Notamacropus eugenii: one gene and its partners. The protein of the gene in region 3 interacts with the protein of the main gene of each other region in a pairwise test. Links are inferred from orthologs where the notes say so. Each region holds a gene or a part of one and is shown on either strand. Other genes may lie near its edges.

The links.
Region 1: the proteins of AGTRAP (region 3) and MIEF1 interact in binary tests that used the Homo sapiens proteins (3 or more experiments, as listed by UniProt). The two-hybrid records come from large-scale screens. The link is inferred for Notamacropus eugenii from reciprocal best matches to the Homo sapiens genes AGTRAP and MIEF1.
Region 2: the proteins of AGTRAP (region 3) and PITPNC1 interact in binary tests that used the Homo sapiens proteins (3 or more experiments, as listed by UniProt). The two-hybrid records come from large-scale screens. The link is inferred for Notamacropus eugenii from reciprocal best matches to the Homo sapiens genes AGTRAP and PITPNC1.
Region 4: the proteins of AGTRAP (region 3) and MIEF2 interact in binary tests that used the Homo sapiens proteins (3 or more experiments, as listed by UniProt). The two-hybrid records come from large-scale screens. The link is inferred for Notamacropus eugenii from reciprocal best matches to the Homo sapiens genes AGTRAP and MIEF2.

The regions. Positions count from the first base shown.
Region 1 is NC_092874.1:298,740,214-298,747,941, reverse strand, and holds the start of MIEF1 (mitochondrial dynamics protein MIEF1), read right to left. Parts: upstream 3,014-7,728; coding exon 2,864-3,013; intron 2,359-2,863; coding exon 2,181-2,358; intron 2,087-2,180; coding exon 1,824-2,086; intron 1,202-1,823; coding exon 395-1,201; 3' UTR 1-394. UniProt on the Homo sapiens protein: Mitochondrial outer membrane protein which regulates mitochondrial fission/fusion dynamics.
Region 2 is NC_092873.1:328,567,217-328,574,705, forward strand, and holds the start of PITPNC1 (cytoplasmic phosphatidylinositol transfer protein 1), read right to left. Parts: upstream 3,017-7,489; 5' UTR 2,926-3,016; coding exon of another isoform or gene 2,878-2,925; intron 1-2,877.
Region 3 is NC_092876.1:51,143,935-51,151,772, forward strand, and holds the start of AGTRAP (type-1 angiotensin II receptor-associated protein), read left to right. Parts: upstream 1-4,830; 5' UTR 4,831-5,043; coding exon 5,044-5,070; intron 5,071-7,838. UniProt on the Homo sapiens protein: Appears to be a negative regulator of type-1 angiotensin II receptor-mediated signaling by regulating receptor internalization as well as mechanism of receptor desensitization such as phosphorylation.
Region 4 is NC_092874.1:335,796,895-335,804,634, reverse strand, and holds the start of MIEF2 (mitochondrial dynamics protein MID49), read right to left. Parts: upstream 3,008-7,740; 5' UTR 2,776-3,007; coding exon 2,667-2,775; intron 2,576-2,666; coding exon 2,551-2,575; intron 2,359-2,550; exon of another isoform or gene 2,206-2,358; intron 1-2,205. UniProt on the Homo sapiens protein: Mitochondrial outer membrane protein involved in the regulation of mitochondrial organization.

The DNA of each region.
Region 1 (7,728 bases), on a different chromosome or scaffold from region 3:
TGCTCTAAGACCAGAGCAGAAAGAAACCAGATGGACAAAGAGGCAATAGTGAGACACACAAAAAGAGGCTGAAAGTAGAGCCAGGTTGGGTAGCTGAAGGGGTGAACTTGACACAAGTTACCAAGTAACTTATCAGCTTGGTCCCTCACCTTGCTCCCCACCCTTCCTGATGCACTCAGGAAGTTGGCCTTGCTGAAGGGGCAGTGAAAAAAAAACTGGGGGCACAGTGCTTAGTGAGAGAAAAAAAAAGAGCAGGGCAAGAAAAGGCCATTCTAATTGGCAGGTGATGGATGACCAGCAAGAATGGAGGCACCAAGGAACCCAAGAGGGGCCACCTCGGAGCAGGCATACCCAAGGCCTGCCCACCTAATACCCACTGCGGATTTCCCCTCCGTTATGTCTGCAACAGGACCTCTGGCTCAGACAATGAGCAATAAAGAGTGTACCCCAATTCATCTATTTCTCCAGGGGTAAGCTCTGAAAATAGGTTCACCTTGGGGTTCAGGGCACTAGGCAGGACTCCAGCCTCCAAGTAGCCAATCAAGGCCCTGAGCGCCTGCAGAAAGCGGTCAGCAAGCATGTCCTGAGACCAGTCAGTCTCCTCTTGGGCCAAGTGGAGAATGACATTTGTGAGCTGACTGGCAGTGAGGTGGCCCAAGGCCGGGCTGGACTTGCATATAGCCTTAAGGATCTTGAGGCACAGCGCTCGACAGCCCCCGTCACCCTGGTCCAATGCCCGGAGGCGGGCAGTCTCTGCAGGCCGCAGGCTCAGCCTCCACAAGTTATCATACTGGGCCAGCCGGTGGGGCCTGGCCACAAGGACTGTGTCCCCCAGGGTCACTGAGGGCAGAAAGTCAATGACAAGGCGCCGGTTTTGCTCATACTGCACTTCCAGGGTCAAGGCCTCAGGGGGTGGAGCTGGGCGGATCACGCAGTCCAAGAGGGACCCAATGGCAGGCCAGTTAATGGAGCCCGCCACCACCTTCTCAAACGTCTCTGCCACAGCCTTGGGCGAGAGGTAACCACCAACCACACAGCGGTCCCAGTAACTGCTGCCCCGGGGAAAGTACTCTGGGTTCTCACGCCGCACCAGGAAGAAGCCAGGGACGTTCATGATGGTGTCCTCCCCAGGGATGCAGGACCACAGGTTCTGCTCTAAGACCAGAGGCACGATGAGCTGAATGTGGTCAGCAGTCACGACCTGCAAGAGAAAGCACACAGGGAAGAGGGTGTGATACTGAAACGTGTCCCACACAGAGTCAAAGAAACTTGACTCCCTCCTGCCCAGACCAGCCTCCACTGCTCCTACCTGCTAACAGTGGAATGCCAGAGGGCACAAAGGGGACACTAGGGAACTCTGGAGGAGACTCCAGAGTCTCAGGTCCTGCCTGTGCTGGCATTCCTAACCTCACCCTACAAACTTTCTTACTGACCTTGCCTTATCTGTGTAACAAAGGTTCTGTCTGAACCAGATACAGCAGAGGGAGTATCCCTCACCACTCAGCCCTTAGAGCAGTCAAGGTCAGCCCCACTGTCCGCGCACACACAAATACAGAAGCTCCCTCTTACCTTGGTAGCTTCCTCAGGGCCTAACCCATGGTTTTACACACAAAAAACCCAATAATGGTATGCTGATTTAAAAGGAAGCTCCCCTCAAATAAAAGGGAATGGGGAAGGTCATAATGCTGTCCTGGAGAGGCAGGGCTTATGATGCAGAGGATTCTATTCTCTCCCAAGCCTGAGACATCTTCGGTCTGAATGACCAGGATTATCAGAGAACAGGACAAGGTCAGAAACTGCTCCATCAGTGAAAAGACCATTACCTGCAAGTCATCATAAAGGCTGCCACTCAGGTACATGTCTCGCAGGGGCATGTCTGGCAGCTTGGCTCGGAGGAAGCTCCGGAGCTCAGCACATATGTCCACAGCAGCCTGCTTGGCCCGGGCCTGCTCACCAGGGGGGATGGCTGCCCGGTTCCGATAATAAGCAAACAGCTTCTCCTGTAGGGACAGGCGGAGCCGTGACTTCTTCAAGTCTACCTGGCTCTTCTTGGTGGCTGGTTTGGGTCTGGGGGGGCAGAACCCATCTGCCAAGGAAGGTAAAAAAAATCCACATGAGAACCCCTGTCAATGCTGGTCCACCCTGTTCTCCCCTGGGATCCATCCATGGTCGACTCTCACCTGCGTCAAAGGCTGAGGGCTCAGTGGGCAGAGTCTGCAGGGACCTGCTCAAATTGGTCTTCATGTCCTGATGCAGTAACCGTGAGGATCCCATCCAACTCGGCTCCTCCCAGCTTCTTTTCCCTGAATGGCTCAGGCGAGTGGGGCTGCTGGGGGCACTGATGGCCCGGTCATACATCTACAACACCCCCACCACCAAGACGTGAGAAAGGAGGGTGAACAACCCAGGGCATTCATCAGAGCCTGCACTATTCCTCACTTGTCTGAACATTTACTTAAATTCCTACTGTGTGCTAAAACACTGTGGGTGAATAAAGTAAGGATAGGATTCCTCAGGGAACCTCGTGGTCCTTGTACTCTAGGGCAGCAACATGCCAACAGATACCATAAGACACAATAATATATGACCACATATTAAAGATTCTGAACAGAGTACCACAGGGGATCCTAGGGATTTCTCAGGATGGAGAGGAATTTAGCAGGCAAAGAACAGAGAGAACCCCTTAGGTGTGGGACACAGGGGAGCTCAGGAGAGTCCCTACTATTTGTTGTTATCAAGGGCAGGGTATGTGCTAGGTTTGGAAAAGCAAAGCAGCTCCAGGCTGTGGAGGGATCTGAATCTCCATAGGGAGAAGCCTGGATTCTGCCTGGTGCCAGCATCACCTCTAATCAGCCTCACTCACCCGTTTGACAGCTAAGGTAGCAATCCCCAGCATGGCAGCTCCGCCCACCCCCAGCACCAGCCGGGCATTGGAGAGCACAAAATCGATGGCGGTACCAATGCCATTGTCTTCCTTCTTGCTTTTTCCCTGGCGCTCACCAGTCCCTGCCATTGCTCCCCTGCAGGTAAAAGCAGAAGACAACACATAAAACTGCCAGTGAGTGACAACTTACCAGTCAAGACAGCGTTCTCTCCAGTCAACCCAGGCTATTGTTTCTGCTCAGACCTTCCCGCCACCCTCCTGACCTCATGTCACGGCCAACCTAGAGGGCCAGCTGCCTCCTTCCTGCCTGTCCTTAGACTTCTGAACAGATCATATGGGCACTATCCGGATACCAGCAAGCCCAAGCCTCTTGCCTCACCCTGTCTGCTCCAGAGGGAGATAAGTAGACCTTATGACACAGTTGACAAGGTGAGGGTAGGGGTGAGAATGAGTACATCTGTGATAGGAAGTAAAGCTCTCCCCTTCTTTACATGAAAGTTTTTATCTAATACCCAGAAGACCCTTTCTTGTCTCCTGAGGTGTAGGCCACCCCATTCCACCAAGCATCCTGGTTGCATCTGTAAGGAGCTGCATGGTTACTTCTCATAAAGAAACAGAGAATAGGCTGGTCAACTGCCCTGGCACAGAAGGCAATATTGGGTCAAACGGGGAAGAAGCATAAAAAAGAGAAAGCATGCCAAGAAGCCTCTCTGCTACTCACAGCATAGATGCTTATTCTTGGGGAAAAGTGTTTGGGTGAGAAAGATGATATGCAACACTCTGGTGAGGACAACCATGTGTACAGTTGATAATGATCCAAGCAAATACTTCCACAGAGATACTATGCTGGAGTTTTAATTAGAAAAGGAAACCAATTCTATGATATTCAAGTTTAGCCTCTGGAATCGAAGAGGCCTCACGTCTCCAGGATCCCTGGGTTCACCAGGGCCAGTCCCTGGTCACCACATGTTGGTCACTACTTTGGCACAACTGAGATGCTTCCTAAATAAGCCTGCATGCTGAAGTCCTTCCTGGGGCTCACAGACCCCCGGCTGTCTGCCAGCACCAAGAAAAGAACCACTGAAGCACTCTGGGCACCTCATTCATGGGCATTTTAGCGGATCTTTCACTCCTCACCACAATGCCTCCAAAAGCACTTTGATTATCCACATTGACCCTGGTTAATAACTCTGGGGTGCCTTCCCATCACTGCCACTCCAGCTGCTCAAGTATTCTTTAAATTAGAATATAAGCTCCTTGGGGGGGGGGGGGGGGGGGGGTTGCTTGTACACTTAGCACAGGAACATGGTAAGCACTTATAATTCCTGGCTGCCAGCACTGTTCTCCCAGAGTTTAAGGCCCATAACGTCCCAACGTAAGAACCAGGACACACACCACAGGAGAAGAGGGCCTTATTCTGGTCTTCCTTCAGTTGAATGGTCAGGATGGAGCCTGAGCCTGGAGGCCTGGGAAGGCAGTTGCAAACACGTGCCTTCCTGGCTATGGCCTGGAGGACAGGTGTCGGTTGGGGCTATTTTTAACTTTCCCCGTAAGGCGGAATTTCCATAGTTACTCCGCCTCCAAGTCCTCTCCACCCCTTACGGAACCTGCTTAGACAATTCAAACTAAAATGTATGTAACAGTATGACCGATAGCTTCCAAGTCTGAATTTTCACTGCCTGCAAACTAAAAATCCTAATCTCATTTGTGAGATTTCTAACAGAGAGCACCAGAACACTGTACTCACTGCCTGGGTCTTATCCTGGAAACACAGATGCCATAATTGGGGGGCTCTGTCCCCCAACTACAAAGAGACCTAGTGGAGAGATTCTCCTGGTCCCAGTTTCTGGGGTTGAGGAGGAAAGGGTCTCTGATAACAACAGATCCTCCAGCCTTCCCATGTCTTGTGACAGGTTAGCTTCCTAACATCGAGTCACCAGGATTTAGCCTCTGGGATACATTTCTCCCTCCTTTAACTGAGATGAGAGAAGCCCTGGGGACACTTGAATTTTAATGCAGACCTGAGCTTAAAACCAGGCCGACCTTCCTGCTCAAAGGGCAACACCCCTATAACTTTGGGCTAGATAAGATTTCAAACATCTGGTGACTTGAAAGAGGAAGTTTCACAAGGTCAACCGGAGAGCTGAAAAGTCAAAAACAAGATTCCCCCTTTCAGAGTCCAAATGAATTGATTCCTAATTATTATGGACTATCTCAAAGAATTAGTATGGAGCTGTAAGGGGAGCCAGGGAGGAAGAAGTTAGGCTGTATGACCTTGGGAAACACCAGTGACCCAAAACCTCCAGATACAGATCTGGAGAAGGGCCAAGCAAGGCACTGTAATTTCAGGCAAGTTAATTAACCTGTTTCTCCAGGCATAAAATGGGACTATGGCTACTGGCCACACACAGACTGAAACCGGGGGAAGACAAAGCTGAAAGGGGCAACAGCAGAATACTAAGAAATATTCTATTTATACAGGAATTTCACTGATGAATAAAGGGCCACCTCCCCAGGAGATTTTCAGTAAACATGGCTGGCCTGACTACAAGGGGATTCAGTCTGGGCTAGAGGCTACACTTACCCTTTACCCATTACTATTACCTAACCTCAGGGAGTAGGGGATGGGGGCAGGAAGCAGAGAGCAGCAATGGGGGGATGGGGAGCACGGAAGGCCAAAGTACATGGAAAGTGCTCCCGATTAAGTAGTGCTTGGAGGTTAACAAAGTCCCCAAAGCAGGAGTTACCTTTAAAGCACTTTCTCCCCATCAACCCAGTGAGAGTCAGTACTCAAGTGTTATCGACATTTTGCAGAGATGGTGTAAGCCCTCTTACTAGTAACCCCTAGAGGAGGCAGGGGGACGGAGGTGTCTGTGATTTCAGCATAAGGCAAAGTGGCCCCTGCTTCCAGGACAGACCTTGGGGCACACAGAGCAATAACTTCCTGGGAGACCCAGTCTCTCTGAGCTGCCTGTGGGTATGGAGGCAAAGCTTGGTGGAGAGCACAGGGCCAACCTGCAAACCTGAATCCACGCGCCTCTGGCACATAACTGGCCCAGTGACCATGGTCAATTACTCTCAGGCCTCCAGACAGCTCTCCAACTTGTCCATGAATATGAGTTAGTAGTGAAAGAAAGCTCACATCATCAGTACAATTCCTTTGGACGGTGGCATCTTTCAACACAGATATAGTCAGGAAATAGGACAAACTCTGCTGTACCAGCAAAGGACTAGGCTCTGGGCCTCAGGATCTGGCCAGCAGTACATTCGGCACAATCAGTCCTATTATGCTAGCTAACTCCCTAAGGAATGCTGCATCCACCATGGCTCACAAGTGCTGCAGATGGATGAGTGGCATTGTCCCCACTTTACTGACACAGAAACGGAACTGAGTTTGTGTTTCACCTAAAGACGACACAAGAAACCAGGAGACTAGGCTCCACTCCTGATCCCAATCTGCAGTCTTTTCCCTGCTGACCTTCCCTGAAATATATATTAAAATGCATTACATTAGAGAGCCAGCCCTCAAGAGAGGAGGAGTCTCATAGTTTGGCATTACAGGAATCAGACACTCAGAGGTTAAGTGACTTGTCCCAAAACCTTACACACAGCTAATAAAGTGGTGAAACCAGGCCCTGACTCTAGGCTGTGTACTTCCCACTGGGCCATGCTACCTGTACTCTGCTCTGTTAATCTGAAAGGCACTTCTCCCCCCACCCCTCCCACCCCCTCCAAACAGATAGCTAGGAGGTCACTATGTTCTGATCTATGGATGTAGTGTGACCCTGAACTCACTTTTACATGATTTACAAAACACCACTCTCCATCTTATGGAATAATGAAGCTAAGACCCAGAAAGGAGAATGTGACATGGGTTTGCCATGTCACAGCCAGTCCATGGATGCCAAGTGCCCAAGTCCAAAGTCAATTCTATCCCCACCTCCCTGCCTCCCAACCCACCATTTGTTTTCTATAAACTCTTCTGGTCTTCCAGTCTTGGGGTGTTCTTACCAGGGTTAATCTTGCTTCATTCCTTTAGTAGGTAATATGTCCTTTTATGATGATCTGTCACTGGAATATTTCTTGTTCCACTGAATCACTTTGGCACTCGAGCAGTTTCAGTTGTTCAGAGCATTTTCCCCCCCTGTATCTTCACTTTGATACCTTTTGATGTGATTTCAGCTAATTTTCTAAAATTCTCTTTGGTTTTCTTTGATTTCTCTTTGTTTTTTGATCAACATTAGAGAAGCCTCCCTTTAGGCCTCAAGTTACCGACTCCTTGACTGCAAAGCTGGGGAAGTACAAAGGGCTTTCTCTACTTCCACCTCCAGGAGGCGAAAAGTTCAGGAATTATTAACAGAAAGTAGAGATACATGGTATGGAGAAGTAAGTTGGCCAAGACAACTCTGCTCATAAGAGGTACAAAACCGGACTTGGTGCTCCTAGAACACTGATAGGCCTCGGATGAACTCATCCTTCCTGCCTTGGCGCTGACTGGGGACTCCTGTGGCCCTTTTCCTCTCTTCCTGACTCCACTCTCTCCTGACCACTCTGCAGTCTCCTAGGCCGCTTCATCACGCCCCCCAACTGTGGGTGTTTCCCAGAGCTCTCCACTGGCCGCCTAGTCTCTCTATACTCATCCTCCTGAGCCTTAACCAGCTCCCAGGGTTAAATGATCATTTATATGCAGATGACTCCCAAATCTATATATCCATCCCCAGTCTCTTGCCTGAGCATTAGCCTCCACAACACCAATTACCTATAAAAACATTTCAAACTCAATGTCCCCAACCTATCTCAAAGTCACATACTGGTATCACAAAGCTCACTATTTCTCCCCAGAA
Region 2 (7,489 bases), on a different chromosome or scaffold from region 3:
AAGTGCTGCTATTATGCCCATTTTACAGATGGGGTAACTGATGTAGGCAGATTAAGTAATGTGCCCAGGGTCACACAGGTAGTTTGGTGTCTGAGACTGGATTTGAACTCAAGTCTTTCTGGTTTTAGGTCCAGTACTTTATCTCCTTAGCTACCTACCTGACTTCACTACTTTAGGGAAGGAATGAACAAACAATTGGCACTAGGTATCAAAGACCTAAGTTCTAGTCCAGGCCCTGCAAGAGAAGAGTCAGGTGACCTTCCATAAACATCATCCCTCTGTAAGTACCAGCTCTCCTAAGTAAAATGAAGGATTGAACTGTATGTTCTGGACCTTCTTGCAGTTTGGAACATCTGAAATTTTAAATTACCCTTAAAACTCTGAAAGACAGAGAAGCAAGCTACTTTAAAACCTGACCTCTTACAAATAATGAATCATATTTTATTTAGGCCAAATTAATTATCCATCATTAAAGGAGGGGTTCCTTTCAGCTTGCTAATTAGTATGTAAAAGGCCTCCACCTATATAAAATAACTGCTCACATTCCCAAAATGGCCCTGGGCATTTATTTCATGTTAGCAAAAGGTGAAAGAATTTTTACTAAGCACTCTCGGCTTTCTCACTCTCTCACACACACAGAAACACACACACACACACACACACAACTATAGTAATTTTCTATACTTTTCATACTATTCCATGCAATATTAAAGATATCAAACCCTTCCCCTTGATTACACAGGTCCACCACAAACCAAATAATTAACTAGCTTTCTAGAAGTGGTATAACTTCGATCAACTCAATTAGTCATGGTGGGATAGTGTACAGAGACAGAAAGAAAATGCATCCTTTTTTCTCCCACTCCTCCCCCATCCAAACTCCAGGCTCCATTCATTAACTCAAGCAAGTCTTTACTAATCACTGACCTACTCACTGTTCCTTAAACAAGCTTTGTACTTACCTGCTTTCAAGGTTTTTTTTTATGAATTTCCCTCTTTCTGGAATGCCCTCTCTGCCCATCAAAATCCTCAGCTATTTTTCAAAGATTATATGCTACCCCTTCCCATAAAACTTCTTTGAGGACCCTAACCAAAGTCAACCCACCCTCTGAGGTTAACTATGACAAGATCATGAATATGATGTAAAATACTGTAGTTATTTGTGGACATCTAGACAAGAAATACCAGACCAGAAAAGGATCTTGGATATCATCCTAAATCCCACTTCCCTTGCTTGACAGATAAGGAAACTGAGGCCCAGAAAGATACTATGGCTTGCCAACAGTGACACAACTAATTAGTGATGGAGCTAGAGCTAGAAAGAGCGACTGGATTCCTAGCTGGCAGTCACTAGTCTTTCAGTAAACCACATCAGCCTCTCTCATCCAGGGCCCTACAAGGTGATTTATACCAGTAGATACACATTTAAATACAACCAATATTTGTTGAATTGAATGACTGAATGCATTCATGGAAATCCATTCACATTAAAAAAACCATTCAGATTGCTAGTTTAAACTTATGCTTGTCCCAAACTTTCTAAAGCTCCTAACAACTTATAATAGTGGTCTTATTTAAGTTTCCCTGGTTCCCATCCCCACATGCTAGCCAGTTATGAAATGATCAAAAGACAGGAGGAAAGAAAGAAAGGAAGAAACAGTCTGTTTGGATGATCCAGACACTCAGTGCATCTGCCCATCATTTTCTGAATAAAGACAGGCTTGGTTGTTTTTTGGTTGGAATGAGAACTTGAAAGAATGTCAGCCAGCACCTCCACTACCACAAGACTGCAGCAGGACCCAGGAGGGGAAGGTGCAAAAAGATACTGCAGACAGAAAGAAAAGTTGTGTACTGGGGGCGCCATCCTGTGGCCCAGTTGGACCCCCTGAAACCACCTGGAATTCCTACAGAATCAAAATCCTCAAGCCAGGAGCAATGAGGGGAGGGAAAGTTTCCCTTGCAACACTATTTCCAGGATTAGGGACTGGAGGCTACACACAATGATCTGTATTCCCCAATTTTTCCCAAGAGTTTTTGGAAAGGAAGGAAGAGGAGCAAAGGAGGGATGGGGGGGAGGGGAATGAAGGTGAGAAATCTTCCAAAGGTTTTCCTACTTCTTTGCTGAATGAGTGTAAGGAATGCCAGCCTCTCCTAATCACCAGGGCACAGAGAGAGAAGAGAAAGGGCTCCCCCACTGGGGCACGATCGGGAGCACCTGGAGGGTGTGAGGCGGCTCACATTTTAAAGAGGGAATGAAGACAGGAGGCTGACTTGTGCGCCCTAACAGTTCAGATTTCTAGGAGCCTGGAGCTGTGAACTTGAGTAGTGGTAGTATTTTGTATTTGTTTTGGGATGGATTTGGGAGGGGTTGGTTTTCGTTTTCGCTTTTTGTTTTGGTTTTCAATTAAAGATAAAGGGGGTGCCCGTCTACACTCGAGAGCCCGGGGGTGGGGGGAGTCTTTTCGATACAGTCCAAATGTATTCCTGCCCCCCTTCCCTTCCACCCAAGTCATCACCTACGTAAGACCTTTTTTGAGCAAGGAAGCGCCTCAGACCTTCCCTCCCGACACACCCTTACGGTGACAAGTGAAAACAGCAGAATTCCTTTCTCTTCTACTCCAAACTTGCCCCCCCTCCTTCTGGGGTGGTGTTTAAACAGGATTTCCTTACTGGCTTTTTTCTTCTTTCTATCTTTCATTTTTTGCAATGGTCACGGCCTTCCTGAGAGCGACCACGGAGGACAATGTGGAATACACTATATATGAAAGATTGAGGGAGCTGCAGGGTTGTAGGACAGGAGGAGAAAGGGGTGTGTGTAGATGAAATCGGGACCCCGGCGTACCCCCTTTCCCCCTCTCCCCAGGCAGCTGCACTCACCTCGTCCACGGTCAGAGGCATGCATATCCGGTACTCCTTCAAGAGCATATTCCCGCTGTCCCGGGGGTTGGTGCAGAGCAGCGAACCTCAGAAGGGACGGCCGGGAGGGCGAGTTCGAGTTCTATCTGCACCCTCTCCGAGGCGAGGCAGGCCCCCCGAAGCGGGCACTGGGGGGGGGCAGCCCCCCAGGCAGATCAGCTTTCTCAAACACGGGCGAGACCGAGTGCCAGCATACAGACACCCAAGCGCTGCCCGGAGCAGAAAACAACACCCCGAGCGTTCGGAGCTGCCGCCGCCGCCGCTATGCTGCTGCTTCTGCTTCCTTCCTCCTCACGCGGAGAGCAAGTCAAGGTTTGGGTTCGTGGGTTTCCCCCTCCCTTTTTCCCCCCAAGAGGTTCCCCCCCTCACCACGCGATGTGGCCAGAATCACAAAGGATGGGCGACCCGCTCGAAATAGCTCGGGATTAGCAGCCGGGGCTGGAAAAGGGGGCGATTGAGATCAAGACCTGCCCGACCCCGGGGGGGGGAGGGGGAAGGAAATACAAAATTTTCGAATCTAAATGAATGCACAAAGCTTCCCCCCACTTCCCCTCCAAAAACCAAATCCACCAATCCACCGCCTCCCGCCCCCCACCCCTTTTCCCCCAGTCTTCCGAAATGTTAATGTCACCAGGAGCCCATAGCAGCTGAAGAGAGAGGAGAGATGCTTACTTCACCAGACAAAGGCTGGATGTATTTTCCTCCTCGGGCGGTAAACAAGATTTCCAGTCCCCCTCCCTCCCACCCCAGGCAACTCCCGGTTTAGCTAGCGCTGGGGTAGAAAGGAGGAACAATCCCGGCTCAGCATTGCTTTGCTCCTAGGTTCCCCCAAGCTCGGTTTCTGGAGGAGGGGAGGGCGGGAAGGAGCTGCCTTTTTTTTTTCCACGCCTCCCCCTCCCCCTTCTCCCTTCCTGGGGCTCGGTGCGTGCCTGGGAGTTTGTATCCACCTGGACTTGGGCTGGAGAGTCCCCGCTGCAGCCTGCAGTACGCTCCTGCCCAGGCTAAGTGGGAGAGCGAGCGTGTGTCTGACATCAGCAGCACGGGGAGGATAGCCCCATCCGGCCAAAGGGGTTATGTATGGTACAGCAAAGAATGGGGAGGATTAAAACCAAACAGCTTGTCACTCGGAGGCTGCTGCCAGCGACCTGAAGCAGAGCTGCCCCGGAGCCGAAGAGCTCGGATTGGGGGGGGGGGGCTGAGAGACTATATTAGTCTGGAGTTTTTCCTGGCCCTTTACCCGTTGGATCACATTGCAGGGCCCAAGGGGAATGTTTCCGAAAACTCCGATTTTTTGGTAGATTTACTTTGGGAAAGCTTCTGGAGGATCTAATATCCTTAGGTAGAATTCTCATCTCTTCCCAGTTCCCAGAACTAGCATTTTCACTGCTCCAGCTAGGAATGTGATGTGCTAAACTAATCCATTCCATGAGGTGGTGACAAATTAAGGGAAGGAAAAAGACTAGCATAGAGTAGTAGATCCCGGAAAGAGAAGGCTAGAGATGAAAATTGGATCCAAATTAACGGAGGGTATTGAATGCCTGGCTAAAGAGCTTGGGCTTCATTTGCAGTGGCATTTATATAACAATTTAAAGTTTGAAACAATACTTTACCTACCTCATCCCCTTTGAAACAGCTGAGATGTGGAAATAGTATGATTTCAGCCCTGCTTTAGCAAGGCGATTCTCACCATAGTAAGGAAAATGTATTTGGAAGGAGAAAAAAGTGGAATAAGTAACTTGCGAAATGAAGATGAATTAAATTGTGTTGCAAGCACTTTTTCACTTATCGTAGATTTAGAATGAAAAGGTAGGTCCTTGAATCCATTTACAGATGAGGAAACTGAGGTTGAGAGATTAAATGACTTGACTACAGTCACAAAACTATTCATGCCAGTCAGGATTTGAATGGATGCCTTTCTGACTCCAAGCTCTGCTGCGCCACCTACCTGCCTCTTCTTGGTAACAACTGGAAATAAAGTAAAAACTCAATGGAAAAACGCTAAACACATTGTGGTACCTGAATGCAATGGAATATTATGCACACAGAGGAACGACGAATATGAAAAGTAAAGGGAAGGCTGAGAAGATATAAACGGATGTAAAGTGAAGCAAACAGAATCAGGAAACAATATATACAACGATTACAGCCATGTACGCTAGAAAAATAACAAAAATCAAAAGTGTCATTGTAACAGGCTATACAGTTCGCCCCAAAGAAGAAATATCAGGATGTAGTTTTCTTTGCAGAAAGGGTGAATTATGAATGTGGAACACTGCATATACTGACAGATTTGATTGATGTGTTGGATAACTTTCAAGGAATGCTATTCTGCCTCTCCCTTTTTGTTTGTTCGTAGGGATGGCTCTCCAGGTGGAAGGAGGGAGAGATACAATTGGGGAAAAAGTGATACATAAATAAAACTTAAAAATGATAAATTGTATTGTAGATCCTGAGATATAACTTTTAGGAGGGAGGGAGAGACCCATACCTATTCTTCCTCACTTTGGCAATCAGATTACAGGCTTTGCAGAACAACCAAAATAGGTTTTCATGTCAGCATTTTAAGTTCAAAAAGTCACAGTGAAATGTCAATGAAAATGCCTGGAGTGTTGGTATTTCATCCATATTAAATAGATCCCTTATTTTAACCACAAGAGGCACATTCTTCAGTTACTCAGGAAGCAGCATGTAGCTGCTGAAATCTGTTTTTCATTTGTCTGGTATTTGAAAGCTTGTTTTTTTCTGAAAAGTTACTGGATGGATTGACTGAGTTTTCCACTGACATCCCCCATGTAGAATGAAACACTAAATATGAATTTTAATTAGAAAGGTATTAAGTCACTTAAAATACTGCAAACATCCCAACTGTGTAGGCATGACTTCTACATGAACAGACATGATTTCTACATTTAATCAGGATCGATGAATAATTAACTGTAAGGAGCCAAGAGGTTATTTCTTAGCATCTTTTGTCCCTTTTCTATCAGTGTCATGATTGATGTAAAAATAAAAGAAGGCTGTGCCAGGGATGAGCATCACTTTATATTTTTCTTTTGTTTCATGAGTTCCCATGGCCAGAGATGTCATCACCAGGAAGCCATCCTGTCCTTGGAGCCTTTCATCCTGAGCTTGGGTGGTTCTCAGAAGTAGACCCCAAATTTCTCCCAGAAACAAAGGTGCATTTTTTAATACAAATGTTCTTTTGGTGGTTCAAATCATAGAAATCATAGTCCTCAGGTAATTGGAACAGATATATATTACATAGAAGAAAATAGAGAAATACATGGTGGATATAAGCAGGTTGCAACATATTACAAATTAAAAACTTCAAAGAAAAATTGGAGTAAAGGATGCCATCAATGAAATGTACTGTGAAAAGAGGAACACTTTTTTTTTGTTAAATATAAGTCAGACTGGTCTTTTAAGAGGGTCAAAGAGACTGTTTTGTTCTTTGCTGCTGAGGTATACACAGTGCAGCCCCAGGTTGGGGGTTGGAGGGTGGGAATAATATAGAAGCTTCACCTTGCTTGTTGTTTCACTCTAGCGACTTCTTTTCTGGCCATGCTGATCCTTTAAGGAGAGCAGAGGGTTTTAACCTTATATTCTTTCTAATTGATTCTTTTAACCTCTTATTTACTACAGTGATTATTAATTTAATTGCAATTTTTATGTTGTGCTAATGCTTACTGCATTTTTCTAAACCTCCTACAAGCTTTAGGCCTGATCGATAAGGAAGGTTTGCTGGTCATGTGTTGAGAGCAAAAGTTAGCAGTTGGACAAGTGAAAAGTTCCAACTGATTTACTCAGAGTATCAGAAGAAAGTAAAGAAAGCCCCTATCACGCTGTGTCAACCACCTTCAGCACTACCATCACCATCACCTCCACGTCAAATTTATGGAAGTTAATGGACAAGAGTTCCAAGGATACTTAGGCATGGCTGATTTATGATCTGTTCTGTTGGTGAGCGCATCTAAATCAACAAGACCTCAAAGTCATCTGAATATTGTGATATTAATTCTCTTATGTATTATAACGGGCTTATAATATAGATTCTACATATGATTAACAAGAATTTATTGTTTTGTTTATGTGATCCAGAGCCTGCTAGAAGAATATAGCACCTGTTATCCAGCAAAAATATCTATGGTTCTTTATATTTTTCATTTTAGCAAAAACTTTATTTTTTAGGTAAATATCCCCCAGTTTTGGATAAGAAATATGCACAGCAACTAAATTAAAGCTAAGTCACATTATTTGAGGTAGAAAATCTAAATTTGACACTGTAGTGCTGAAAAATAACACCAAAAGGCTATGATATGGAAAGAATCTAAGCTCTTTTCTTTCTTTTCCTCCTTCCTTCTTTTCTTACTTCTTTCTTTCCTTCCTTCCCCAGTCCCATGGGGTCTATTCCAGTCTTAATGTGTCTATGACCATTGCCAAAGCTGATGATAACCTTACTGTCTGCCTCAGTTTTCCTACATATTAAATGGATTATAAAATTAGTTTATAAAATTAGCTCCTTAGTTCAGAAGTGTAATAAGAATAAGATTCACAACTATAGCTGGGAGAGAGG
Region 3 (7,838 bases):
GAATCTCATAACAACTATGGGAGCTAAGTGCTATTAATATCCCCAGTTTACAAAAGAGGAAACTGAGTCAGTGATTTATCCAGTCACACAGCTAATGTGTCTGAAGCTGGATTTGAACTCAGGTGTTTCTGACTCCAGAACCAGCACTCTAACCACTATACCACCTAGCTGAACTATGTCATTCTGAGAACCAATAAAATCAAATCTTTCCATGTGGCCCAAATCTACTTTTCCAGCTTCAATTTCCAATGTACAGTCAAACAGAATTCATTCACTGGATAAGTATGCTTTCTTAGAACTTAAGAACTCCAGCTAAATCTAATCCAACATTCATTAATTAAACTAAAGCAGTCATCAAGGTAGTGAAGGAGCCAGTATGTTGTACTTGAAGTCAGGAAGATCTGAGTTCAAATCCTGTCTCAAATACTTCCTAGCTGTGTGACTTTGGGCAAGTCACTTGTAACCTTTGTCCATCTCAGTTCCCTCATCTGTAAAATGAGTGGATTGTAATAGCACCTCAAATAGTGGTCATACAGATCAAATGAGATAATATGTACATAAATATGTATATATATAAACTTATATGTATACATATGTAAAACATTTTGCACTATGAAAATTGCTAGCTATTATTAAGCCCCTATTGTGAAAGGAAAGAGAAAGATGATAGTTTGAGGGAATAGTAGATTGTAAGGGTTTTTTAAGACTTGGGGAGACCTGGGCATATTTGCAGGGAGCAGGGACGAAACCAGTAGATACAGATATTGAAGCTTCAAGAAACAGGGGATAATTGTGGGAACAATTTGCCAGAAGAGACAGGAGGGGACAGGAGCAAAAGTTTATACTGAAGGGTTAACTTTGACGAGAATTATCATGCTCTTTTCATTAAAGACTAGACTAACGGAGGAGAAATTGGCTATGATGACAAAAGATTTTGAGATGTAGAGAAAAGGGAAAGAGAGAACTCACATAGAGTGGCCTCTATTTTTCTCAGTAAAGCATAAGAGATCTGCTGACAAGGTAATGCGATGGACGGTAGAGGAAGCCTGAGGAGAAAAGAAATGGTCTGGAGACTTTGACAGAGAATGAATTAGCGTTTTAATAATTCATCTATGGCCTTAATAGCAAAGAAACAAATTTCTCTCTGCACCTTTGTGGATTTTTCTCTGAATTTTTTTCTTTGCCACAGGAAGGAAACTCAAAAGAATAAATCTAGCAGCACCCTCATTTTACCTAAGAGACAATGAGACAGTTAAGTTCTTATGGTAAAAAGCCTGTGGACTGGAAGTTCAGCATGTCAGCAAGGTGATATGGCTGCTCCCAAACCAAATTGGGTCATGGAGTTAGGACCAGAAGGGACCTCATCTAGTTCAAATCCTTCATTTTAGAAATGAGGACACTTGGGTCTCAGGAAAGTGAAGTTGGCTTGTCTAAGGTCATACCAAGAGCAAATGAAAGAGTCAGGGTTTGAACTGCAGACTTCTGATACTGTATCCAAGATGCTTCCCCTCCATAATATACAGACCTGATGAAACCTAGGGCTTTGGTAGCTACTGTAACAGTATCTAAAACAAAGGAGGCGTAGCCCTGCTCTGTTGTACACTCCTTACTTGATGAAGGAGATTGAATAAACTCCCATAATTCCAAGATAGATCCCAAGAACTCAGATCATTCTCCCCTCCTGCAAGTATGCACAAAATTCAGGAGTCTACTATTCAGGTCTATGTGTTTTCCAACCTTGAATTACCTCCAATTCTTTGTGCGTGGAGTTGATTTGTGACTCCCTCCCTATCATCCCCTTAACTCCCAGCTTACACTTCCAGCTGTAAATCTCTCCCAGAGAACTCAGTACTACATCCTCTGCCCCCTCTGGGAACATAATTTTACTTTCCCTGAATCCAGCTCGACTGGTTCTAACTTGCTGCCCCTCCTACGCTTCCAGCACCAGCATTAGCTGGTTGGGAATGAATATAGTATCAGTTCTTTGAACTAAACAGATCATCCCTTGTCCTTCATCCTGCTCTGGGTCTCGCCTCCCCCTTCCTAATCTAACACAACAAAGCCCTGGGTCCTTTTCTTACCTCAGGGTACAGAGGCCTGCTGGGTACTCTTATTATTTTACTCTTTTAACCTGTGGCCCATGAATTTTTTATCCCCACATATTCTCATGAACCTATCACTTTTTATGCTCTGGGATGATGATACAGACAAATGAGGATAAGAGTCTTGCCCCCTTTCACCCAGAAAGACCTAGATAGCATAAACAGGGTATGTAGAAATTTGTAGGCCCTCCCCATAAGTACAGCTGACATTTATAGAGAGAGATTGAAGAATCACCATGCTCTTTCTAAGCATTATCTTATTTAATCCTTATAACTGTCCTCAGCAGTAAGCACTACGTTTTACTGAAGAGAAAACAGGATCAGAGAGGTGAATTTGGTCTCACACATGGTCTCGCAGTCAGAAGTATCAGAGGTAGATTTAGAGCCCAGGTTTTCTTGACCCCACAATTAATACACTTTTCAATATATCTTGTCAAACAGTGAAAAAAGCAATTGACAAGCATTTGTTAAGGACCTGCTATGTGCTAGGTACTAGAAATAGAAAGGCAAAAATGAAACAGTCCTTGCTCTCCAGGAACTAACATTTTATTCAGGGAAATTTGTACAAAGAAAATTGAAAGGAGAGTGCTGACTCATTATCAGAAGATCAGAAAAGGCCTCATTTTTGAGGTTGATCTTGAAATCCCATAAATTGTTAGTACAGTGGAATCCTACCATGTGGGATTTAACCTAAATCCTACCTTAACAAGCTTATATGAGAGGTATTTAAATACCCCTTTCCCTTTAGATCTGCCATGTCTTTGACTGCACCACAAGGGTAGGGATGGCTGGGAGAGACAGGACCATAGAGATGAAGAAGCAATGGAATGAGGAAGAGGGATAGGGAAAAATAAACTATTCAGTTGTGCTTATATGATTTGTGGGTGCCACATGTCTGTAGGCTCCCAGAAAAGGGTTATCTTGCTTAATGAAGAGAATATTGGACTTGGAAGCAGAAAACCCCAATCCAAACCTCTTCTCTCCAACCATGACTAGCTGCATGACCAAAGATAATTCACTTTAACCTCTGAGCCTCAGTTTCCTCATCTGAAAAATGGATATAATACCTACAGTACTTCACTGGGTCATTGGGTGGAAAGTGCTTACAAACGTGTTGTTGTCTTGGAGAATTTACCCTTTTCAATATTTTAGTTTCAACCAGGACTGAATAATCTACTTGATTAAGGAGACTGAATAAACTCCCATAATTCCAAGACAGATCCCAAGGACTCAGACCATTCTCCCCTCCTGCGAGTATGCACAAAATTCAGGAGTCCTCCTTGAATTATTGGGGAAATGCTCATGTGTCTCCTGGATGAAGTTGACAGTATTCATCTCACAGTGAAAATTATCCTGACTCTCCCTCATGTGGGTAGGGAAAGGCAACCATGCCTTTTCACAACGCTCCCATAGTACAGCTGTGAGGGACAGAATGTGAGCCCAGTCAGGCATTTGTCCCATTCCCTAGCCTTCCAAAGCTGTGTTAGGCTTTCCTTCGGAAAAGCTGTTGCAGTTTTCCTTTCACATGGTATATATTTGACATGGTTTATTAGGAACTCTTTCAAAAGGATTCAGGGCACAGGAAGAAGGGCAGGGTTTTGGTTCTGATACGAACACAGTTCTCCTAGGGCTAGGTTTCTTAACATTTTGTGACACAGAGCCATCTCAGCCTGGTGAAACCTATGGCTCTCTTCCCAGGGGGAAAAACTTTAAATAACTGAATGCCAAATTTCAGTTCATTTGAAAATGCCAAAGACTTAGTGGTGAGAGAACCTCATTTTTGGAGTCTCCAGTAACTGTGGTTTGTGGAGGAGTTGGGGCCTTCCTTATCTACAGTGGCACCTGAAGGGTCTCATCTCATTGAGCCCTTCCCCTGGAGCAGGGTTGGGCCAGTGCTCTGGAGCTCTTGGACTCACCGGTCTATCCCTGGCATTTGTTGGACAGCTGTTACCTCTGGAGGTGGGCAGGGGATGCCGGTTGGCCCTTCTCCACCAGGGTTGCTCCCTACATGATGGCTGTAGTATACCAGAGGATGGCAGGGGACTTACAGATTCTTTTATCAGTCTTCCATCCCATACATGAACAACTGAGACAGATCAGGGAGGAAGGATGGGGGCGGGGGGCGGTTGGAGAATGCCCTTCCTCTTCTACAGGGTGATGGAAGGGCCTGCCTAGAACTTCTGGGCCTGGTGATCAGGGGGAGGAAGAGGGGCAGAAGACGACTTGCCCTAATTGGGTGCAGCAGGAGAGAGGGAGACAGACAGACAAAGACAGAAACACAGACACACACCCAGAGAGAACCACAGACGGACAGACGGACGCAGAGCTAGAGAGGGAGCATGCGTGCGTGGCCCGAGCCCGGGGCTAGGCCAGGGGGGAGCAGGGACAGAGCGCCCCTGGCCGCAGGGGGGGCAGACGCCCACCAGGGGGTGGCAGGTGTTGGGAAGGGAGGGGGCGCGGCTCCCCCAGACTCGCTCCTGCCCACAGCCCTTCGCCCTCTCTCCCGAGCCTCAGGGGTCCATCCTTAGGGCCAGGGGCGGCCCGAGATGAAGGGAGAACCTCAGGTGCGGGCCGGGCTCGGGGGCCTCCAGGCCATCCCTCCCTAGAGAAGTCTCCGCCCAATGTCGAGGCGGGGGGAGGGGCGGGGGGAAGGGCGGGGGGAGAGCTGGGCTCGCGCCGCCCGGCCGGAGGGGGAGGGGCGCAGCGCGGTGCAAGGTGACGCCGTCTCCTAGCAACCAGCCTCGGCTCGCGGTCACGTGCACAGGCCGTGGGTCAGGTGGCCAGGCCGCCCGAGCCGGACCTAGGGGGAGGAGGCGGGGCCGGGAAAGTTTGTTTCCCAACTTTCCGGGTAGAGTCCGATCATCCGCAGCCGCAGCCGCAGCCGCAGCCCCGCCGCCGCCCCCTTCTCCGCCGTCCGGTCCCGGCCCCGGCTTGGCCTGGGATGGAGCTGCCCGCCGTGAACCTCAAGGTAGGGCCGCGGGTGGAGCGGGGCGGGCCCGGGGACGGAGGCCCGAGAGGGACAAAGGGGTGCCCGGGGCGGAGGGGCGTGGAGGAGAAGAGGGGGCCGAGAGGAGGGAGAGGACGGGGACGGGAAGGGGCTGAGAGATCGACCGAACGGGGAAACTGAGGCCCGCCCGGGGTCACCGAGGCTGGGATGCCCGCAGCTGGGTCAGACCCGCTCCAAGTCGTGTGCCTTGCGAGCCAGGGAGGGCCACTGAGGAGAGAGGAGGCGGAGGGGGCATGGGGCCGGGAGGAGAGGGGAGCCCGGGGATCAAGGGGGGCAAGGGAGGGCCGCCGAGGAGAGAGGAGGCGGAGGGGGCGTGGGGCCGGGAGGAGAGGGGAGCCCGGGGATCAAGGGGGGCAAGGGAGGGCCGCCGAGGAGAGAGGAGGCGGAGGGGGCGTGGGGCCGGGAGGAGAGGGGAGCCCGGGGATCAAGGGGGGCAAGGGAGGGCCGCCGAGGAGAGAGGAGGCGGAGGGGGCGTGGGGCCGGGAGGAGAGGGGAGCCCGGGGATCAAGGGGGACAAGGGAGGCGCCTGGAGAAGTTATCCAGGCCTAGAAAACCGGCCCCACCTGAGCCTGGGGAGCATGTGCTCCAAGCGACACCCCCCCCCCCCCATCCAATCCGCCTGGGAGCATATAGATATAGATATCTATAGATAGATATATGTACACACGACCTCGCAGCATGTTTTACCCAGTTTACTGAAGACTGAAGAGCGAATGAGGAGGAGACGGCAGAAGTTTGGGGTGTCGCTTAAGAATTTGGCAGCTTTGGCATTCATTTGTACTTTGCTTTAAAAAAACTGTATAAGGTAAATTTTAGGGGAATTTGTAACCTGTGACAGGCTGCTTCTGGGTAAGTTTTCTTGCTGTCGCAGAAATCTTTAGTAAAACTTCCATCTTTTCTCTTCAAACATTCATGGTGTCAGAAAGTGGGATTTAAACCCTACACCTCCCTAAGGAGACCAGATTCATGAACCATCACATTTACGTATATATGTATGTGTATATATGTACATATGTATGTGTATATATATTTATCAAGGTGGATAAGCATGTTGAACTTGGAGTCAGAAAGATGTGTCCTGCCTCAAACACTAGCCTTGTGATCATGGGCAGGTCACTTAACTTCCCTGGACCTCAGTTAGGCCATCTGCAAAAATGGGTCCTGTGTATGAGGTGTAGCACCCACTTCCGGGCATTTGTTGTGAGTCTCAAAGAAGGTCATCTAGCTAAAGGGCTAGGTCATAGATTTGGAGTTGTTAGAACTAGGGACCAGGGATTAGAGGGAGGAGAGCTTTAGGAGGGAGAGAGGGGACCTGGAGCTGAGGGCAGGCTAACCAGGCCAGTTCCCTTATATCAGATAAAGGACAAGAAGGAGAGAGGATCAGGGAACTGAGGACAGGAGGGTTTTGAGGAAAGAGGGAGACAAAAGGGTAAAGGATGAGGAAGATGGAAGTCTTAGGGAATGTGGGGGCTGGAGAGGTGCGGAGACAGCAGGTGGGGTCTGAAAGAATGAGGACAAAGGGAGGAAGGGGGCCAGGGGATGGAAGTCTACGCTGGGGAGGGCTAAGGGCCTCCTTAGCAGGAGAGGAGATGGGGAGTGGGGCAGCTGGACAAGGCAGAGTTCTTAGGGGTGAGGGAACCTAGAAACTGAGGAGGAGGAAGCCCAGTGGGCAGATGGGAGAGAGTCCCTGGGAGTGAGGGGTAGAAAAGCTTAGAATGAGTTATGGGGGAGGGGGACAGCCTGGGGGAGGCAGGGTGTGGTTGGAGAGGAGGCCCTCAGGTTTTCCCTGACCAGCCCCCATTCCTGGGATACTTCTCCTCTCCATCTCCATCTTCTCCCTGGCTTCCTCCAAGACCCAGCTAACATTCCAGCATCTGGAGGAAGCCTTTCCCCATCCTGTCTCAGTCTAGCCCCTTCCCTGTGTTGACCCTCCCCACATGTCCTGGACTTAGCTCCTGAGCATGGAGGTTTGCATGTTATTTTAGATGTTAGGCTGCGAGCCCCTTGGCCAGGGCCTGGTGTTTTCCTTCCTTTGGATCTCCAATGCTTAGCCCAGTGCCTGGCACAGAGGAGGCCCTCACTATATGCTTGTTGACTGACTGCAGTGGAATCATGAGGGAGAGGAGGAATGGAGAATTAGGAGGGAAGTGATTGGGTGGAGGAGATAGAGTTGACAGAACTGAGAAACCAGGCTATGGGTTTCTATGGGAATAAGAAAGAGATCGACTGAATGGGGAAACTGAGCACAGAGCGGGTTAAACGGCTCACCCAGGGTCACCGAGGCTGGAAAATGCCTGCAGCTGGGCATATAGGATAAGGAAGAGCAGATGGGGTGGCTGAAAGGCTAAGGGACAAAAGGAAAACTGAGGAGCAGAGGGGGAACCAGGAGGGAAGCCATCAGGGGACAGAGGGATGCCATCCAGGTGCAGAGGGAGGAAGATTCTGGAGCTTAGCACCAGGCCTGGTACATGGCAGGCACTTAAATACTTGTTGACTTCTTGACGATTTGGATATAAGTGGAAGGACACAGATGGAGGGAAGAAGGAACTGAGACTACTGGAGGCTCGATGGGCTTGTTTAGAAAGAAAAGGGCTGAGTACCCTGTGATCACAGGCCTGGGTACTTGTCCTAGGCTCCTCTAACCTACAGACCTCCCATGGGGACTTTCTGAAGAAGAAGAAGGGCTGGGGATTGCAAAAAGGAGAGGACCCAGCCCATCCCAGCAACCC
Region 4 (7,740 bases), on a different chromosome or scaffold from region 3:
GCTTTTGTTAATATCAAATTCACAGAGAGACAAGAGCACACCTACCCTGGGCTGTACTTCTCTACGCTGGAGCCAAATGAAATAGTATCAACTCTACTTTTTTACCAGGCAGATGGTAAAATAAAATAGGATTTTTTGCTTGGAGGCTTCTCACAAGATTCCAAAATCAGAGAAAAGGTGGGGCTAAAATGGACAAATACAGTACTTAGAAGTACTCACTGGGGTCTTTGGTCCAATGCTAATACCCTCTCACAGAACTGCTCCTACGTTCCATCCCTTAGTCCATTTTTCTCACTGTAGCAGGATGAGGTCAAACGTTTATAGACTTGGAGCTGGAAGGGACCTAAGCAGCTTCCAGTCCAAAACTCTTCATTTTACAGATTGGAAAGTAAGGGAGATTATGTTATTTACTTCAAGGACAATGTGAGAAATGAATATTTCTCTCTTATACTTTAATAATTATAATATTAGGACCAAAGTTCTTCCCCTTTTCTACTTCCTCATCTAGAAATCAACCAGTGTGGGAAATTTCTCTTAAGAGATTTATCCAGGCCAAGATCTAATCAGACAGTAAAAGAAATTCTAAGTTTGGGCTAAAGGATGCATTCCTGCTTATTATGTTAGCTTACAAATACGTCCAGAGAAAATGTTGACTCTCCCTATTATCAAGACAGGTGATATTAACTAATGTCTCTTTGACCAAGATTTGAGTGACCTAGGTCAAGTACCCCAAGATAGCCTACCTCCCATTTGATTAACCAATCAGGGTTGAGCAGGCACCCCTGGGGAACACCTCCTCTCTGAAATGTAGAAGAGGGATGGACAAATGGCCATTCTTTTATTAATAACCTGCTAGCCTTATTAATAAAATGATTAAATTACCCAGAAATTATGTCTCTCTAACTTTTTAAAGGGTCACAACAAAAAGGTATTAAGGATCTGAGGTGGGACTGGAACTCAGGTTTTCTGATTCCAGTCACTGCACCAAGAAGTCTAAACCTAGGAAGTGCTCTAGTGTTCTTTAAAGGAGACTCCAGAATAGTGCAAAAAACAACAAACCAAGAGTCAGGAGACCTGGATTGCAGTTTCTACTACTAACTGTGTGGCCACAAACAAGTCATTTCCCACTCTGAGGTGCCTTAATTTCCTTCTCTGTATAAAGAAGGGGTTAGGCTAGATGGTTCCTTGAAGCTAAGACATTCTAGTTTTCTGCAGAGGATAATTGTGCAAACATGACCTGTATTTTCAGAGACTGGTGGACAGTGGTTGGCCGGTAATCCTAGAGCTGTATCAGCCACTCTGGAGAACAGTCACTCACCCCAAGGGGCCCTCTCTCACAGGCACACAGACTGTACTTCAGAGGGTGAGAACTTATCAGGAAAGCTCCAGTATCCTCAGAAAGGATCTTCCAGGCCACTCCCATTCCCAGCAGGTAAGGCTGGGGAAGAGGGAGCCAGGCTAAGCCCAAGTAGGGTTCTTAATGTCCCCCTGGGGTTCATGAGGACAATCGGGCCGTCAGTATCCAGTTCCCCACAGTGAGTCTAAACAGCTCAGCCGCAGGCCCACAATTCAGCTGCTGGGCAAGAGGAACCAGTCAGCGTGGGAAGTACAGGAGTTCTGACCCTCCCAGTTAAAAACAAAGCTGACTCTAGCAAACACTCCAAACAACTAAGGGGGCCCTCTTTGGTGTAAAGGACTAAACTCCTCCCAGCTTTGCTAGGAGTACAAGTAGCTGCCTGACCTTGGGCAGTTTGCCGCCCCTTCTCTGGACTGAATTTCCCTTACTACAAAATGGATGGATCCTATATAGCAAAACCAGGCTCCGGATTACCGGCTCTCTAAAGTCCATTACCTAGGACTCACCTAAGAACCACAACAGAATGGGGGGCATTGATTCCTGACCCCCAGCCCCAAGTCGCACCTGGACCACTCCCAACTCCTCTCACCCCTCCTCCGCCCCCACCCAAACCTCTGCCCGCTCCCCCAGGCAGACCTCCACGTCCGTAATTCGCAGACCCGGCCCTGGTCCGTCCAGGGAGGCTTCCCAGCCCAGGCTTTGCAGGCTAGCACCCCGGAAGTCGTGGCTAAAGAGGGGCGGCCTCGCTCTGTGACCTTGGGCAGGTCCCTTGACCTCTCTGAACGTCCCAGCTCTGGATCTGCGATCTCCCCAAGATCCCTCTTCCTCTACCTCCGATGCCGGCTTACCTCCTATCCTTTCCAGGGCAGGAGGGCCTCGGGGCCCACCTAGGACGCGTGCCCCGCCCCGGTCAAGTCGGATCCCCGCAGGCACCGGGGGCGCCCCTGGTGTAAGGGGCGGGGAGGGCGGTGGGAGCATCCTTCTCAGCCTCGGGCTCCGGCGGGGCCGGCGCAGGCGCAGTCACCGCGGAGGCTCCCTTCTCCCCTCCCCCTGGGCCCCGGTGCGGGACAAGGACCCCCTGCTGGGCGAAGGGCTCCTCTCCCTCCTCGCACCTCCACACGCTCCCCCGCGCCCCGGAAAGGCCCCGGACGTCGGCCTTTGGGGCCCCTCGGACAGCGGAAGGCCCTTCCTACCTGCACTGCCGCTTCACCGCATCACCTGGGAAGAGAAGGCCCGGCCCACGGTGAGTCCCTCGTCCTCCTCCTCCTCTCCCCCGACTCCTAGACCCAGGGCCGGCCCCCTCTCTAACCTCCAACCTTCTCCTCCCAGCGCGCAGCCGCAAATTCGAAGCCAAGGGGGCGGAACCCTGACGCCCGGCTCGGGCCGGACGGACTACCTATGCGCCCAATCAGAGGCATGCCTTCCCGTCCCGCACGTTCCAAAACAGACCTCGAACGGCCAATCACCCAGAGGCCACGCCCCCTCCCTAACGGGCATTCCCGGCCGGGGCGAGGCGTCCCCGGGGGCTGCGGGGGCGTGTCTTCGGCGTTAAAGGCACAGGATTCAAAGAGCGGCCCGAAGGACCGCGGCAGCCCGTGGGGATTCCGGCTTGGAATGCCTGCGCTTCCTCCTACGGCGGAAGTGGTCGTTGTGATGAAACGCGTCTGTGACGTCACCTCCGGGCTCTCGAGAACTAGGCCTGGAGCACGTGGCAGTAGGAGGAGTCGGGGCTTGGTGACTTCATGGCTAAAGGCCGGCCCCGAGCGCCGGTGCTGGAGGCGCCTCGGACGCGCCTTGGGCGCGGCTCCGGGCCCAAGGTTCGGCTCCCCCGGGACCACACGGCTCTGAATCCCTCGGTGGTCTGGACAGTGACACAGAAAAAGGCCGAACAGCAGCCCCTGTCCTCAAGGCACGTGTAGTCTAACGAGAAGAAAACCTGAAACCACTGGGACAAATTGGGGAGGCCCAGAAGGCAGGCGCCGGCATTGAGGAGAACTGGGAGGGCTCCCTGGGAAGGTGGGGGACGCCGGGGACCTGGGGAGGTGACGCAGAGGAGGAGAGGGTCCCAGAAAGGAAGCGGAGCCTCTCCTTGCCCCGGATGGGGACGGTTACTGGGAATTCCGTCCCAAGTTGGGTCTGTTGAGGTTTAGGGGTGCTGGGACCCCGAGATGAGACGGGCAGGGCCTGCCTGAATGAATTGGCCCCAAGCTTTCAGCCAAAGATAAGGTTTGTTAGAGCGCAGGTAGAAGGGTGTGATTCTGAAGATTCGCCATCCAGGCTAGACTCTTAAGGGATCCAAGTACTGGTAATTTCTTGGAGGCGTGCTGGAGCTTATGTACAGGAAGACCGTGGGAAGGATCAGGCTCTAGAAGTGGCCAGTAGGCTGGGGTGACCGAAGGAGCGGGGTCTAGGGAGGATTTTGATGGCAGGAGCCGGTAGGCTGGAGTGACTGGAGCCTGAAAGCAGGGACCTAGACCAAGAGAATGGGGTCTAGATAGACTCAAGGGTGGGAGGTGGCTGGGGGTGAACCAGAGGTAACAGACAGTGGGGAGCTGGGCAACAGAGAACTGGGAGATTGGGTGTAGGCCATAGTGAAAGGCCAGATGAGGGGATGACTGGGATGCCTCAGGTGACCGACGGAGACTTGACCGTATGGAAAGTTCAGGGAGAGTTGGGGGCGGGGGGAGAGGTTCCAGAGCCCCTACCTGTCAGGTCCACAAAATAAAAAAAGTTTTACTCTTACCCTATGCTCCAGACTGATATTTCCCTCCCCTAATGTGATGGTTTATCAACTCTGTCTCTTCTTTTTAGGTGGGTATTGTAAGGCCAACCATGCCAGGCACTTTACAGGTAAAAGAAGTGGACAGCAATAACTTGGACCACTATTATCAATGTGAAAAGCAAATTTCTGAGACAAGCTTGTCCCTCCATTAGGAATGTGGGGGAAAATTACTGTTCAGGTAAAGGGTTGGGACCAACCTCTGAGGATCCTTACTTCTATGGTGAGAGTCTGTTATACTGAGATCAAATCCTGACCCCATGCAAAGGCCAGAGTGTATCTGAGTCCCAAAGAGCCAACTTTCAAAAATATGTATATATTGTTATTGGTTTTTTTTGTTTTTCATAATCTGTACTTTTTAGTGTATGTCCTTCATCTCTCAGAGAGCCATTACTTATAGTGCAGAATTAAAAAGAGAAAAAAATAACAGTTAAACCAATCAGGACAAGGAAAGAAGTCTGACATTATATGCAGTGTTCCACACCCATAGTCCTGACAACTTCTACAAAAAAGTTGCTTTCTCATATCTTTTATTTGGGGACAAGGTTAGCATTTAATTTTGAATCTTTTGTTATTTTTTCCATTTACAAAGTTGTAGCATACATTCCAAAGAGGGAGAGAACAAATGCATGTAGAAATAGATAACATATATAACATGAATAAGTACAAATATATACAAAGTAGTTAAATCCAAGGTACTTTGGGAACTTGAGCAGTAATGATTGAGGGAGTCAAGAAAGGCTTTATGCAGAAGGTGCTTGAACTGCCTCTTAAAGGAAGTAAGGGTCTCTAATTGGCAGAGTTAAGAAGAGAGAAAATACATTCTAGACATGTGGGTCAGACAACCAGTGCAAAGGCAGGAAGATAAGACATTGTGTGTGAGGAACAATTAAAATTCCAGTTGGGCTGGATCTCATGGTGTAGCAGGGGGATAAATGTCTGGTGAGTCTAGAGAAGTTTATATTTTTATCCTATTGGCAATAGGAAACCACTGGAGCTGGTTGAGTAGGAGAGTCAAATAGAATAAGGAAATTACTTGGGCTATGGGTTTGGAAGATGGACAGGAGTGGGGAGAGGATTGAGGCTGCTGTAATAATCTAGGTGAGAGGTGATTAGAATCTGAACAAACGTTGGTAGTTGTATGAGTGAGAAATTGGGTCAGATGTAAGAGATGTGATGGTAAAAATGGCATGATTTTACAACTGATTGGATATATAGAGTAAAGGAGAGTGAAAAGTTGAGGATGATGCTGAAATTACAAACCCATGAGACTGGAAGGATAATGGTACCTTTGACAGAAAGAAGGGAAATTTGGAAGAGTGGAAAAGATGATTTTAACTTTGGGGATGTTGAGTTCAAGATATTTTTGGGACAACTGATTTGAAATGTCCATTGGGCAATTAGTTATTCATGGCTGGAATTTAGGGTAGAAACTGGGACTGGATATATTGACCTTGAACTCATCTGCAGAAGGATGATAGTTAAAGCCATATGGGCTGAAGAGGCAAACAGTACAAACTATTGAAAAACAATGTATGATTTCAATAAAGTTGCAGGCTTCCAAATAAACTCAAAAAATCAAGAGCATTTCTGTATAGGAGGAAAAATCCAGAAAGCAAAAATAGAAAGAGAAATTTCGTTCAAAATAATTACGAAATTTAAATATTTGGGAGTCATTCTACCAAAGAACACCCAATACTTGAATCAATACAGTTATAAAACAAACACTTCTTAAAGAGATAAAGAACAACTTAAATAGTGGAAAGGATATTCAGTATTCACAGCTGGATCATACCAATGTAATAAAAGTTACAATACTAGTTGAGTTTCAGGGGTGCTAGGATCCCAAAATAGCGACAAGTGAGTCCTGCCCAAATAAACTCTATCCCAAACCTTCTTTCAGCCAATGACAAGTTTTATTAGAACACCAACTGGGTGAACATAATTCTAAAAATCTACCACATTGGCCAGACTTTTAAGGAATCTGAGCATTGGCTTAGACTCTTAAGGAATCTGAGAAGACACCCTTCCTTGTAATTGTTATAGGACAATCTATTCTCTTTACCTTTATAGAGATAGACAGTGGAGGCATCCTTGAACTCCTGGAGGATAAACTCCTCTTGCCATATTTCTGGAAAATTTCAGTCAACTTTTGTATGAGCAATGAATCCCCTACCTTGTAAATCTCAGTTGGAAGAGAATCAGCACCATGTGTTTTGTCCCAGGAAAGGAGCCTACTACTTCTTCGGTTAGGGAGGGATTGATTTCAACCTGAGGTAAATGGTCACTGGCTTCAGCATTGATTGATGATGGTCTGTTGAGAACCTTATGGAAGTGTTCAGCCCATGATCTCCCTAAGATCATGTCCTTATCACTAATCAATGTGCTTCCATCAGCACTGAGTAGTTGAAATGAATCGTAGATCTTTGTCCCATAAATAACCTTCAGGGCATCACAAAAGTGTTTTGGATTGTTACTGTCAGCATAAAACTGAATTTCATTTGCCTTCCTGCCGAGCCAAGAATCCTGCATCTTTCTAAGCTTTGCGTGTACTTCAGTTTTGATGGAATTAAATGCTGCCTTCTTAGAGATGAATGAACTGTCCTGCTGGTAAACCTTGTGAAGTTCTCGTTTTTTGTTTAGCAGTTTCTGAATTTCCCTATCATTTTCATCAAACCAGTCTTGGTGTTTGCGAGTGTTCTGACCCAGATGAGCAAATACAGTACTATACACCAAATCTCTGAAAGCTGCCCACTCCCTTTCTGCCCCACTGTTGCCAACTGTGTGTTAACACAACTTTCCCTCCAAATTAGTCACAAACTGTTTTCACTCAGAGATGAGCTCTAATTTGCTGACATGAATTCGATAGTCATTTTGCCTTGGGGATACCCCTTTTGTTGAATGTGAATATTTAGCTAGGAGAGGATAAGTCTGTGATCAATTCTCACTGTCACATCCTGTCTGTCTCTTCTTACAATCACATAGTCTATTAGATGCCAGGGTTTGTTGCCAGGGTGCGTCCACAAAGTTTTATTGTGTTCACATAAATAGAAGGTCATGTGATGCACAAGTCTTCAGTAGCAAATGACCATTGCTGCTACTGTTTCCAACTCCATTCCTCCCTAGGACTCCCTGCCAAGTCTGGTAGTCTCTTAGTCATTGCTGGGAAGATTCTTGCCAGAGTCCTCCTTGACAGGCTGAACCTTCACCTGGAAGATGGTCATTTCCCTGAGAGCCAATGTGGCTTCGGAAAGGGCCGAGGAACAGTTGATATGGTGTTTGCTGCCCAACAGCTCCAAGAGAAATGCCAGGAGCAGAACAGAGGTCTGTACACAACATTTGTAGATCTGACCAAGATCTTTGACACTATTAGTCGTGAGGGCTTATGGAAAATTATGTCAAAATTTGGTTGCCCAGAGAAGTTCATCAATATTTTATGTCAATTTCATGATGGCTTGTTTGCCCAGGTTCTGGATAGTGAACAATGCTCTCATGCCTTCCCAGTCACCAGTGGAGTGAAACAAGGCTATATGCTCGCTCCTATGTTTTTTAGCATGATGTTTTCAGCCATGTTGTCAAATGCTTTCAAGATCAGCTTAATTTA